3 linked regions of the Anolis sagrei genome follow. Each later gene encodes a partner of the first gene's protein in a complex. Links are inferred from orthologs where the notes say so. Each region holds a gene or a part of one and is shown on either strand. Other genes may lie near its edges.

Evidence for each region.
Region 2: CACNA1S (region 1) and CACNG1 share a complex: the UniProt entries of both Homo sapiens proteins name them as parts of the calcium channel complex. The link is inferred for Anolis sagrei from reciprocal best matches to the Homo sapiens genes CACNA1S and CACNG1.
Region 3: CACNA1S (region 1) and CACNB1 share a complex: the UniProt entries of both Homo sapiens proteins name them as parts of the calcium channel complex. The link is inferred for Anolis sagrei from reciprocal best matches to the Homo sapiens genes CACNA1S and CACNB1.

Annotation. Positions count from the first base shown.
Region 1 is NC_090024.1:185,707,048-185,710,799, forward strand, and holds the start of CACNA1S (voltage-dependent L-type calcium channel subunit alpha-1S), read right to left. Parts: upstream 2,460-3,752; 5' UTR 2,273-2,459; coding exon 2,109-2,272; intron 1-2,108. UniProt on the Homo sapiens protein: Pore-forming, alpha-1S subunit of the voltage-gated calcium channel that gives rise to L-type calcium currents in skeletal muscle.
Region 2 is NC_090022.1:180,613,329-180,617,080, reverse strand, and holds the start of CACNG1 (voltage-dependent calcium channel gamma-1 subunit), read left to right. Parts: upstream 1-1,387; 5' UTR 1,388-1,729; coding exon 1,730-1,973; intron 1,974-3,752. UniProt on the Homo sapiens protein: Regulatory subunit of the voltage-gated calcium channel that gives rise to L-type calcium currents in skeletal muscle. Regulates channel inactivation kinetics.
Region 3 is NC_090026.1:43,881,159-43,884,910, forward strand, and holds the start of CACNB1 (voltage-dependent L-type calcium channel subunit beta-1), read left to right. Parts: upstream 1-1,536; 5' UTR 1,537-1,904; coding exon 1,905-1,991; intron 1,992-3,752. UniProt on the Homo sapiens protein: Regulatory subunit of L-type calcium channels. Regulates the activity of L-type calcium channels that contain CACNA1A as pore-forming subunit.

The sequences.
Region 1 (3,752 bases):
TCTTACTTGTTATGTTGTTTTTAAAGTTTGATTTTTAACTGTTACACACTCTGTGTGTAATAAAAGTAACAGAAAGCAATTATACTTTGTATCAGTAGCTTCCAAATTCTTCCTAAAATCAGTGCATTTAGGGAGTAATCTTTATTCTCCAACTGAGAGATCATCATCATCATCATCTTTATTTGTACCCTGCCACCATCTCCCCAAAGGGACTCAGGGCAGCTCACAGAAGCACTCCAAGCACCACATGCAGACGACAATATATAACTAGAAATACAATGACATAATCAACAGCACATAAAAATCTCATTAATAAAATTATAAGAATTTGAAAATTACAACATTCCTAATACACAGTGAAACCTGCCAGCTGGCTACATGTCATAACAATCAATCAAAGTGTGGGCCAGTACTATTAATGATTCATCACATTGGTCATGGATTACTCAGGATCAAAGGCCTGTCTGAAGAGTCATGTTTTAGACTCACCCAGAAGGCCTGAAGAGAGGGAGCTAATCTAATTTCTTTAGGTTATTCCAGAGCCAAGGAGCCACCACTGAGAAGGCCCTCTCTCTCGTCCCCACCAACCGTACTTGTGCCGGTGGTGGGACCAAAAGAAGGGCCTCCCAGCAGATCTTAGTGCCCACGCTGGTTCGTAGGAGATGCAGTCTCAAGGATAGGTTGGACCCAAAGTATATAGGGCTTCTGCTGGCATCACCTGTAATTTGTTTTGTTGTTCAAATTATAAATTAGCTTAAAGACACAAGCCTTCTTCCTACTGTACACAGTCCTAACTCAATTGTTTTTTCACTAAATGATTGGGAAAAGTTTAACACTACATTTTCCATCCTTTAACCAATATTAAATAACAACTGGATTTCTATTTTATTCTATGACTTATACAAGAATGATCGGTTTCTTGACTCCAGTTATGATCTTTTTTACGCCACTAACTTTAGCATAGAATCATTAGGCTCAGAAACATATAAAGAAGAGCACCTAATCCAAAGCCCTGACCTTCTTCTCCCATTCTCAGCCCAGAAGTACTTAAAAGATTTCAAAAATAGCTCTTTGGAGAAATTAATCCATTTTGTCCAAGTTATAGTACGTCAAAAGCAGAAAGCAGGAGAAAAAAAGCCACCGCATAGGAGACAGGTCTGCACATTTCCAGAAATAGCTTGTTTTAAAAATCTGATTACTCCAGCAAGCAATGAAATGAAATGAAATGAAACTGTATTTATAGCTTGCCCTATCTTCCCGAAGGGAGTCAGGGCGACTTACAACAAAATACACCATGACAAACATTCCATGCCCACAATAATATATAAAGAACTCAACAAATTGAAGACAATTCAATAAATTATAGATCAATATAAATGAACAAGACATAGCATAATCCACATAATTACATTACATGGTAGGAAGGTAAGCTCCATGCTATCAAAGAAGGCTTGATAGCTCATTTTGAGTTTGAGAAAATTATATCCTCACATCAAATAAAGCAATATATTGACTCTTAAGCAAAATTAATCTTCACAACAGAGTAAAATGCATTGGCCCTTGAATTGAATGTTATTAGACTCCTCAAAGATATGTAAAAAGTGGGAAGAAGCTGTATCTATATTCAATGTACTGAAGTTGAGAAGCTAGATGAAATAACCTGTAAACATTCATTCTGTACTCATACGCATCTCTTTTGGAATCCATGACATATCCTTTTGAACCATAATGGATTCTACAGTTGTACATTTCCAAGTGTTTCTTAATCTATGAATGGCCACAGAAGACTATAACTCCTGCTACAGTATTTTTTTCCAAATCACACTCACGTCCACCTACCAATTCAGACTGGATCAATGCAGTACTTTTCTCTTAAATACCTTCCTTCCCTCCTCATCTCCCTGCTTCTCCTCTCAGACATAAATGCCAAAATTTAGTGGCTTTCTAGCATTTCTAGAGAAGAGAAAATCATATTCAGGGTTTATCTTTCACAAGAGAGGTTCATTGATAATAAATATTCCCCAGCCCTTTGCCTTTGGTTTCAGCTGGTGCCCATAGCACATACACGTCAGCCTAGAGCCAGCCCCATAGTTTTCACCGAAGGATACTTCCATTCCACAATAGCGATGCAGGCTTTGCGCACTGGATTCTGGAGAGTGAGGCAGAAGAGAGATCGAGGAGGCCTGGGAGGAAGTTCCAGGGCTGCTTTCTTAGCTTTTTCCTTTTGTTGCTTTTTCTTCAAGCTGTCATCTTGGGCCAAAGTGGCCTCCATGATCACTCTCCTTCAGTTGCTTACTCCAGGCAGACTTGTCTTGCCCCTTCTTTGGCTCTCCTTTGTTCTTCAACCAGCCCCCCACCCTTCCCCAGCACAAGGGCGGCTGAAGCCCCCTCTGGACCTCTTTCCTGCTGAGCCAAACTTATCAAGGCGGTGTGGGATGTGGGGCTGGGAATGACATTCCCACAGACACAAATACACCCAGCGCAGAGTTTATAATTAGCCCCCAGCCTGGCTCCCAGGGCTGTCAGATTTCCTGAGACAGCAAAAGGAACAGCTGTTCCTTCTTCGTTCTCAATCCATGGCCATTTTTGAGCTACCAATCCAGGTCAGGGGAAAGGATGTGGGTGGGGAGGTGGGCTTCACATATCAGCGCTTAGAAAAGGAACATTTTAATTCACTTTGATTCATGTTTGACAGATTTATAAAGGAGTAGCTGCTGCCTGTATTATCAGGATCAAAGCCACTTCAACATTAGTAGTGTATGGATTACCGTATATAATCAAGTATAAGCTGAGTTTTTCAGCCCTGAGACTGAAAAGCACCCCCTAAGCTTATACTCGAGTCAGGGTTATTTATTATTTTACTGTTATTATTATTATTACTATTATTATTATTATTATTATTATTATTACTATTATTATTATTACTGCATTTATTATTTTACTCTCTTTATTGGTATTGGAAGGATATGAAAGCACATTTACATTGAAGAAGGTTAGAATAATAGTTTAGAGTTGGATAGTCTTATCTAAAATTACAGTTTTATGTAAATATTCAAAAACATTTAATCTACTAATGCCTCAATTAATGTAATTTTATTAGTATCTATTTTTATTTTGAAATTTACCAGTAGCTGCTGCATTTCCCACCCTTGGCTTATACTCGAGTCAATATGTTTTCCCACTTTTTTGTGGTAAAATTAGATGTCTCGGCTTATATTTGGTTGGCTTATACTCAAGTATATACGGGTATATACTTCGATGGTCTTGAAACAGTCAAGATTTCACACAGTAACGGAGACCATATATACATATATATATATATGTATGAATATATATACACACACATACACACAATATTTCTTCAGTTTTAAGACACCATCAATTGTAAGAAGCATACTAATTCCAGTACCACCAACAAAAAAGTATTATTTAGATATATCAAAAAGCACCTGCAATTCTAAGACTTTTTTGACTTGTTTATACAGAAAAGAAAGTGCATCTTAGAATCAAAGAAATGTGGAATGTATGTGACGTACTATATATAAAGACAACTTTCTCACCCGAAAATTTCACGCCCTTGTTTCATGAATCATAGAATATCAGTCAAATCTAAAACACAAGACCAGGCCTTGAGATCCAGAGGCTCTGGAAGTAGCCTTCAAATCTACACATAGGGAAGTCCTATGTCTTACTTAGACAAAAATAATCATAATGTGCTAACTGGAAGCTTAGGCCATTTCTTCACAAACATG
Region 2 (3,752 bases), on another chromosome or scaffold:
ACCTCCTTCATAGTTATTTTTTATTATTTCAAAAACAATGGGGGAGGGGGGGGGGGACTAGAATTGGGAGGACTATGTAGAAAAGGATCTGTCACTACTTCTGTCCACTGAAGTGAACAGCAGATTTCCTTCAAGGACTGCGGGTAGGGAAGGGTTGTTACTGCAGTCTGAAATTGGGGAAGAACTAGACTTCCTTCCTAGTATAGTGTGGTCCTTGTTTTGAGTCCTGCTGTATTGCTTTTGAGCTGTGGTGTTGGAGGAAAGTTCTGAGAGTGCCTTGGACTGCGAGAAGATCCAACCAGTCCATCCTCCAGGAAATAAAGCCCGGCTGCTCATTGGAGGGAAGGATACTAGAGACAAAGTTGAAGTACTTTGGCCACATCATGAGGAGACAGCAAAGCCTGGAGAAGACAATTATGCTGGGGAAAGTAGAAGGTAAAAGGAAGAGGGGCCGACCAAGGGCATGATGGATGGATGGCATCCTTGAAGTGACTGGACTGACCTTGAAGGAGCTGGGGATGGTGACAGCTGACAGGGAGCTCTGGCGTGGGCTGGTCCATGAGGTCACGAAGACTCGGAGATGACTGAACAAATGAACAACAATAGCCCTGGGTTCTTATATCAGTTACAAAGCCATCTTTACCATCTTGGTTTATGCACAATCAGGCCCGTAGCCGGGGGGGGGGGGGGGACAACTTGAGGGGCTTCACCCCCCACCACCACCCCCAAATTCTCAGGGTAGTCCGCGAGAAGGCCTTACTGGTACATTATTTAAACTGTTATGTTTATGGGTTGTTGTAGGGTTTTTAGGGCTATATGGCCATGTTCTAGAGGCATTCTCTCCTGACGTTTCGCCTGCATCTATGGCAAGCATCCTCAGAGGTAATGAAGTGTGTTGGAACTAGGAAAATGGGTTTATAGGTCTGTGTTATGTTTATTCATATCATGATCTGATCACCATGCTCAATATATCCCATATGCATGGGGGTATTGGGATAGTGATACAAAAGGTTTGTTAGGGTAGATCCTCATCCCCCCCCCCCCCCCCGAATCAAACTCAGCCTTCCCCCCGAATCAAAATCCTGGCTACGGGCTTGTGCACAATGTATGGGGGAGAACCCCATGTGGTAACCAGGGGATTTCCAATACCATTCATTACTCTTAGTCCCTCCCTATGAATAGCAATAGCAAAATAAATTGTGTAACAAGAAGTGTGCACACCCAAACACACAAGCACAGATTGCTGAATTCAACCTTTTCTATTGCCTTATTTGGTCTGCTTGCACAGAGGTTTCCAGCATATGTGTTAGTATTTATAGCTTTCAGTTCATACATCTACACAACCCCCAGCCTGGTGCTTGCTATAGGGGTGGTTATTCATTCCCTTAAGTCCATTTTGCTCCAAGACAGCCTTTGGAATTCCCAGAGCAAATCCCGGCAGCCGTAATCTGAGCAGCCTATTCCTTCGCCCAAACTGTGCATTAATAGAAGCCTCACTCACAGCCCGACTGGTCATCTGATACATCTCAACAGCTGTAAGTGCTGCTGCTTGCCTCCCCCAACCCTCTCCTCGCTACTCCTCTTTGCCACTGCAGGGCTGACATTTGAACATGCTTAGATACGCCAAGACTTTGGAAGACAACTCAGATGACTTGCAGTGTTCCTTGTCACCAGCAGATTAATCCAGAACCGGCCTGCACTACTGCGTCTTGGCCTAAGCCTCCCAGCCATGACCGAAGGCAAGGCTTTGAAAGTCCGGGTGACTTTTACCATCATTTTGATAGGCATCGTCTTAATGTTCACAGCGGTGGTGACGGACCACTGGGCCGTGCTGAGTCCTAAGGTAGAAGAGTACAACGCTACCTGCGAGATGGCCCACTTTGGACTCTGGCGGATCTGTATAAAACGGATCTTCATGAAAGAAAATGAGACGGACAAAGAGCAGGGTTGTGGGCCATTAAGCCTGCCAGGAGGTAGGTGTCCCCATATAACCGCCTGACAATGCGCTGCAGAATACCTTAAAACAGCAAGGCAGCTTGAATGTGAGAGGGCATGCTGGGAGAATGGAAATGTCACTACCAATGCTGCTTTTGAGCTAGCCCAAAGCGATGTTCTTTTTTCACACTTCCCTGAGGATCTTTCTGCTTCCTTGGCATGTATTGTGTTAATGTTTGGTGCTGTCCTACTCTGAAGGGAAATGATGGGGGGAGGTGAAAAGCAAAGAGGAGACAGAAGACGAAATATGCTTTCTCTGGAGCCTTTGATCACAGGAGTGTCAACGAACCCCGCCTTGCCAAGTCTGACATAAATCTTTATCCGAATGGCAAGGGTGGGGGGAGATTGGCTTATATAACCCCTACAGTTTCAGATCACGTACTGCCAGCATTTCCATTAAATAGTGCTCCTGATTTGGATAATTATGTAAGCGGGGAGAAGAGGGGGGATACATCAAAATATAAAACTAGTTTATGGCCAAAAGCTACTCTGAAGAACTTTTAATTGCTTAAGATAATAGAGGACTGTCGGCAATGAGCCATTTCACTGCAACTAAAACATCTACAGGTACATCATAGCTAGAAGTAATCACATCTATGTACATCGTCATGTATGACAGTAGAAAGCAACACAGATAACAAAATCCCAGGAGTTGCTTACATGAGGAGTGCTGTAGTGATCTGGCATGTCTACTGTTGTTGCTTGACCTAGGACCAGGGGCGGCTCAACCATTACGCAAAGTAAGCCTTTGCAGTATAGTTGATTTTGCCCAGGGGCGCTCTTGAGGCGCTCTTGGGGGAAAATAGACCTTGACATATGCGAGTTGTAGTTACTGGGATATATAGTTCACCTACAATCAAAGAGCATTCTGAACTCCACCAATGATGGAATTGAACCAAATATGGCACACAGAACTCCCACAACAAACAGAAAATATATATCAGTGATTGGTTTTGGTTTTTTTTTGGGGGGGGGGGCAAAATACTGTTTGCTCACCGTTGAAAATTACCTAGGGCTGCCTCTGCCTAGGACCTCAACTTTATTACGCAGAGCCCCTCTTCAAGTAATGAAGTGATCAGATCAATAGGTCTGGGTGGTGGAGGTAGACTGTGGTTGTAAAAGCTGATTTTCTTGTTGCCTCTGTGCATTGGTTCAAGGTTTGAGTTGATCATGCACATGCATGTAGAAGTGACTGGCTCATATAGGCATATCGGTTCCACTCAGACTATTGATAAAGGCACATGTGTATGGGATAGTGTTGATCAACATACTCTCCCATCCTCTACCACAGTGGTTCTCAACCTGTGGGTCCCCAGGTGTTTTGGTCTACAACTCCCAGAAATCCTAGCCAGTTTACCAAAATAGCCAAGGCCAAAATAGCTGGTAAACTGGCTAGGATTTCTGGGAGTTCTAGACCAAAACATCTGGGGAGCCACAGATTGAGAACCATTGCTCTACCATGTGCTTTTCCTAACTTCTGTGCATTTAGGTTCCTGGGTTGGTCTCTGACAGGACTCTTCTGCTCCACTAGATCTGAACAGAGATATCCAGGCAGGTTGAATTGGGCTCCTTCCACACAGCTGTATAAAACCCACATTTAACTGATTATATGGCAGTATGGACTCAGATAACCCACTTCAAAGCAGATATTGTGGATTATCTGCCTTGATATTCTGGATTATATGGCTAGGTGGAAGGGTTCTAAGATATCTCAGGCCTCATGGGTTCTGGACTCTGGGGTTACCCAACAACTCTTC
Region 3 (3,752 bases), on another chromosome or scaffold:
TATTAGCAATTTATTCACACTGTCATTACTTGCAGCAATAGCCAATGTAGTTGTTCTGGTACAGCTTTATTTGCTTTGTATTAAATGTTTGCTTGCAGTCCTAGGTTTCAGGGACTCTGCAGAAAGGTGGCTTCTTTGGTTGCAGTCATAGGGCAAGTCACCTGTCCATCATCGTTAAATTTTGGTCCCGCCCCTTGCTCAGGGCAATTGGGAAGGGAAGGGAGCCATTTTTAGTTAGTCTCAGCAAAGTAAGCTTATATATAGGATGAGTGCAAGCTTCCCCTGTACAAAAGCTTCAACCCTTAAGACTTTCCAGGGGAGAAAGGTCTTAAGAGTCTCCAAAGAATTTCCAGGACCAAAGAACTCCAGCTGGAGAACATCTACTGCCTTGCTAGTAGGTCCACTCGGCGTTCGAGACGCAGTTCGACCCGGTAGCAGAGCCCACATCAGTAAGGGTTAGATTACAGTTAGCCTGGGAGAAGTTACGAAGGGGATTTTTCTTTAAAGAAGAAGTTATTGAAGACAGTTGCCTGTCCTTCGTGGGCAAGATTAGGAATTCACCAGTTGCCTAAAAGCTTGGAATCATTTGCTTAACTTTACTGAAGACAAGAGAAGTTTCTGTTTGATTGTTCATTAATAAAAGACTTTGTTGTACTTCTCAAGCCATCTAAAGATTAGGTTCTTGTGGGTTTTTTCGGGCTATAGAGCCATGTTCTAGAACATGGCTCTATAGCCCGAAAAAACCCACAAGAACCTAGTGATTCCAGCCATGAAAGCCTTCGACAATACATCTAAAGACTGTTTGTGGTGGAAACCTCTGAGAACTTCTCTTTAGGCCCCCTGGCTTCCCGCTGGGCAAAGGTTGCACATCCTGTTCTAAAGACAATTATTTACAGGCCCAATGCTCGACAGAACAGTACTGAAGCAACCAAGTTGGGGGGGGGGGGTGGAATGTTGAATGCTCTCATTAAGGAGGCCAGACTTGGTGGAGGTGGTTGACAAGGGCGGAGCTGCAGGCTATTGAAGGCTGCTCTGCCCCCTGCTGTGCTCTTTGCCCCCCCCCCTGCGAAATTTTCAACCCCCCCCCCCCAAATTTAAACCCCTCCCAAAAAATTTTTCTGGCTACGGGCCTCACTATAAATCCCAGCAACTACAACTCCCAAATGAAAAAATCAAATTTTTGAGTGAAAGACATACATTGGGTTGTTAGGTGTCTTGTGTCCAAATTTGGTGTCAATTTGTCCAGTGGTTTTTGAGTTCTGTTAATCCCACAAACAAACATTACATGTTTAATTATATGGATTCTTACTGGTATTAGGTACCATTTCCATATTAACTTATAATACTTTTTCCAAGCAGTCTTCAAAGGTTCTTCCTAATGTTCAGATTGAATCTCCTTTCTTGGAGTTTGAAGCCATTGTTTCAGAAGAAGGGCAGATAGGAGCAGCAGCAGGTGGATGCTGATAGGATGATGGCCTTGGAGGCTGCCCAGGAGGAGGGAGGATGGGAGGCTGGTTTGGGGCAACCCAAGTAAGGCTGGAGCCAGCCCTCCATCTCCCCTCCTCCTCCTGGGCAGCCCCTCCCTCCCATCTGCGCATCCCCCTTGGGCTCAGCCCACCCCACGCCCACCTTGCCTTCCCTCTCCCTTTGGCAACAGCAGCAGCAGCAACAGCCACCACCGCAGGAGCCTCTCCAGCCTTCCCTGCTGCTGCCAGGAATTGCCTTGCGCCCTCTCTTCTTCCTCCATCCCCGCCTTGGAGAGGGCAGCAGAAGCCATGCCGAGGCGACGGGCGTGAGGAAGGGGCTTGTGCCAGCCCCCGGGGGCGCCCCTTCCTCCCTCCCCGGCTTTGGCACCATGAGCCCGGCGTCGTGAGCGCAGGCGGCGGCGGGCAAGGGGCATCTCCATGGTGCAGGAGGGCGGCATGTCACGCACACCTTACAGCTCCAGCCAAGACATCCAGATGGAGGTCTTAGACAACCCTGGTCTCCAGGTGAGAAGGGGGGGGGGAGCAAGAGGGAGGGGGGAACTTTGGAGGTGGAAATATCACCTTCTGGAAAAGGATGGATGGGGAAAGAAGGGGCCAAAGGAATCAGGGAAGGGCTGATCTTCATCCACCCTTTTTCCCCTGGTTGAATTCGTCCCTGCTCGCCCACCCCTCCCTTGTTTCTCAACACGTACAGACAAGCAAGAGAGAGATGATGCTGGCAAGGCTTTTGCTTTGAGCCTCCCCAGTGATGAACAGCCATCTAAAGGGGTTAGGAAGTATTTGAAAGGCAACCTCAGAGGGATGTGGGATTCCTAGATTGGGGAGAAGGGAGGAGCAGCAACAGAGGCAGGAATGGCTGTTGAGTCTAGCAGTCCCTTTGATGCCTAGGGATTGCAACTTCCACAGAGAGAGCCCTTCTTCTCCCTTGGCACTAAGGAGAAGGGCTCTCTGGTGTCTAACTAACCTAACTAGGTTGTTGTGGTTTTTTTGGGCGATATGGACATGTTCTAGAAGCATGAACTATGATAAAATAATTTTTAAAAAATTTAAAAAAGAAATAAAATTAAATTTAAAAAAGAAGCATTCTCTCCTGACGTTTCGCCTGCAACTATGGCAAGCACCCTCAGAGGTTGTGAGGTGTTATCTGCTTTGATAATCTGGTTCTAGAAGCATGAACTATGATAAAATAATAAAAAATATATATCTAAAAGAAATTAAATTAAATTAAAAAAGAAGCATTCTCTCCTGATATTTCGCCTGCAACTATGGCAAGCATCCTCAGAGGTTGTGAGGTGTTATCTGCTTTGATAATCTGGTTCTAGAAGCGTGAACTATGATCATATATATATATATATATATATATATTAAATTTTAAAAAGAAGCATTCTCTCCTGACGTTTCGCCTGCAACTATGGCACGCATCCTCAGAGGTTGTGAGGTGTTATCTACTTTGATAATCTGGTTCTGGAAGCATGAACTATGATAAAATAATAAAAAATATATATTTAAAAATAAATACAATTAAATTTTTAAAAGAAGCATTCTCTCCTGACGTTTTGCCTGCAACTATGGCAAGCATCCTCAGAGGTTGTGAGGTGTTATCTACTTTGATAATCTGGTTCTAGAAGCATGAACTATGATAAAATAATAATTATATATATATTTAAAATAAATTAAATTAAATTTAAAAAGAAGCGTTCTCTCCTGACGTTTCACCTACAACTATGGCAAGCATCCTCAGAGGTTGTAGGGTGTTATCTACCTTGATAATCTGGATTATATGGCAGTATAGAAGGGGCCTTAGTGTGTCATACAGTCTGCCTTGTATTTCCCAACTAACCAAATGTCTTGTCGAAGGCTTTCATGGCTGGAATCACTGGGTTGCTGTATGTTTTTCGGGCTGTATGGCCACATTCCAGAAGCATTCTCTCCTGACGTTTCGCCTGCAACTATAACAGGCACCCTCAAACCTCACAACCTCTGAGGATGCTTTGTCGTAGATGCAGGCGAAACATCAGGAGAGAATGCTTCTAGAATATGGCAATATAGCCCGAAAAACCTACAGGAGGTTGCTTGCCATAGATGCAGGTGAAACGTCAGGAGAGAATGCTTCTAGAACATTGCATATAGCCCAAAAACCTACAGGAGGATGCTTGCCATAGATGCAGGTGAAACGTCAGGAGAGAATGCTTCTAGAACATGGCCATATAGCCTGAAGAATCTACAGGAGGATGCTTGCCATAGATGCATGCCAAACATCAGGAG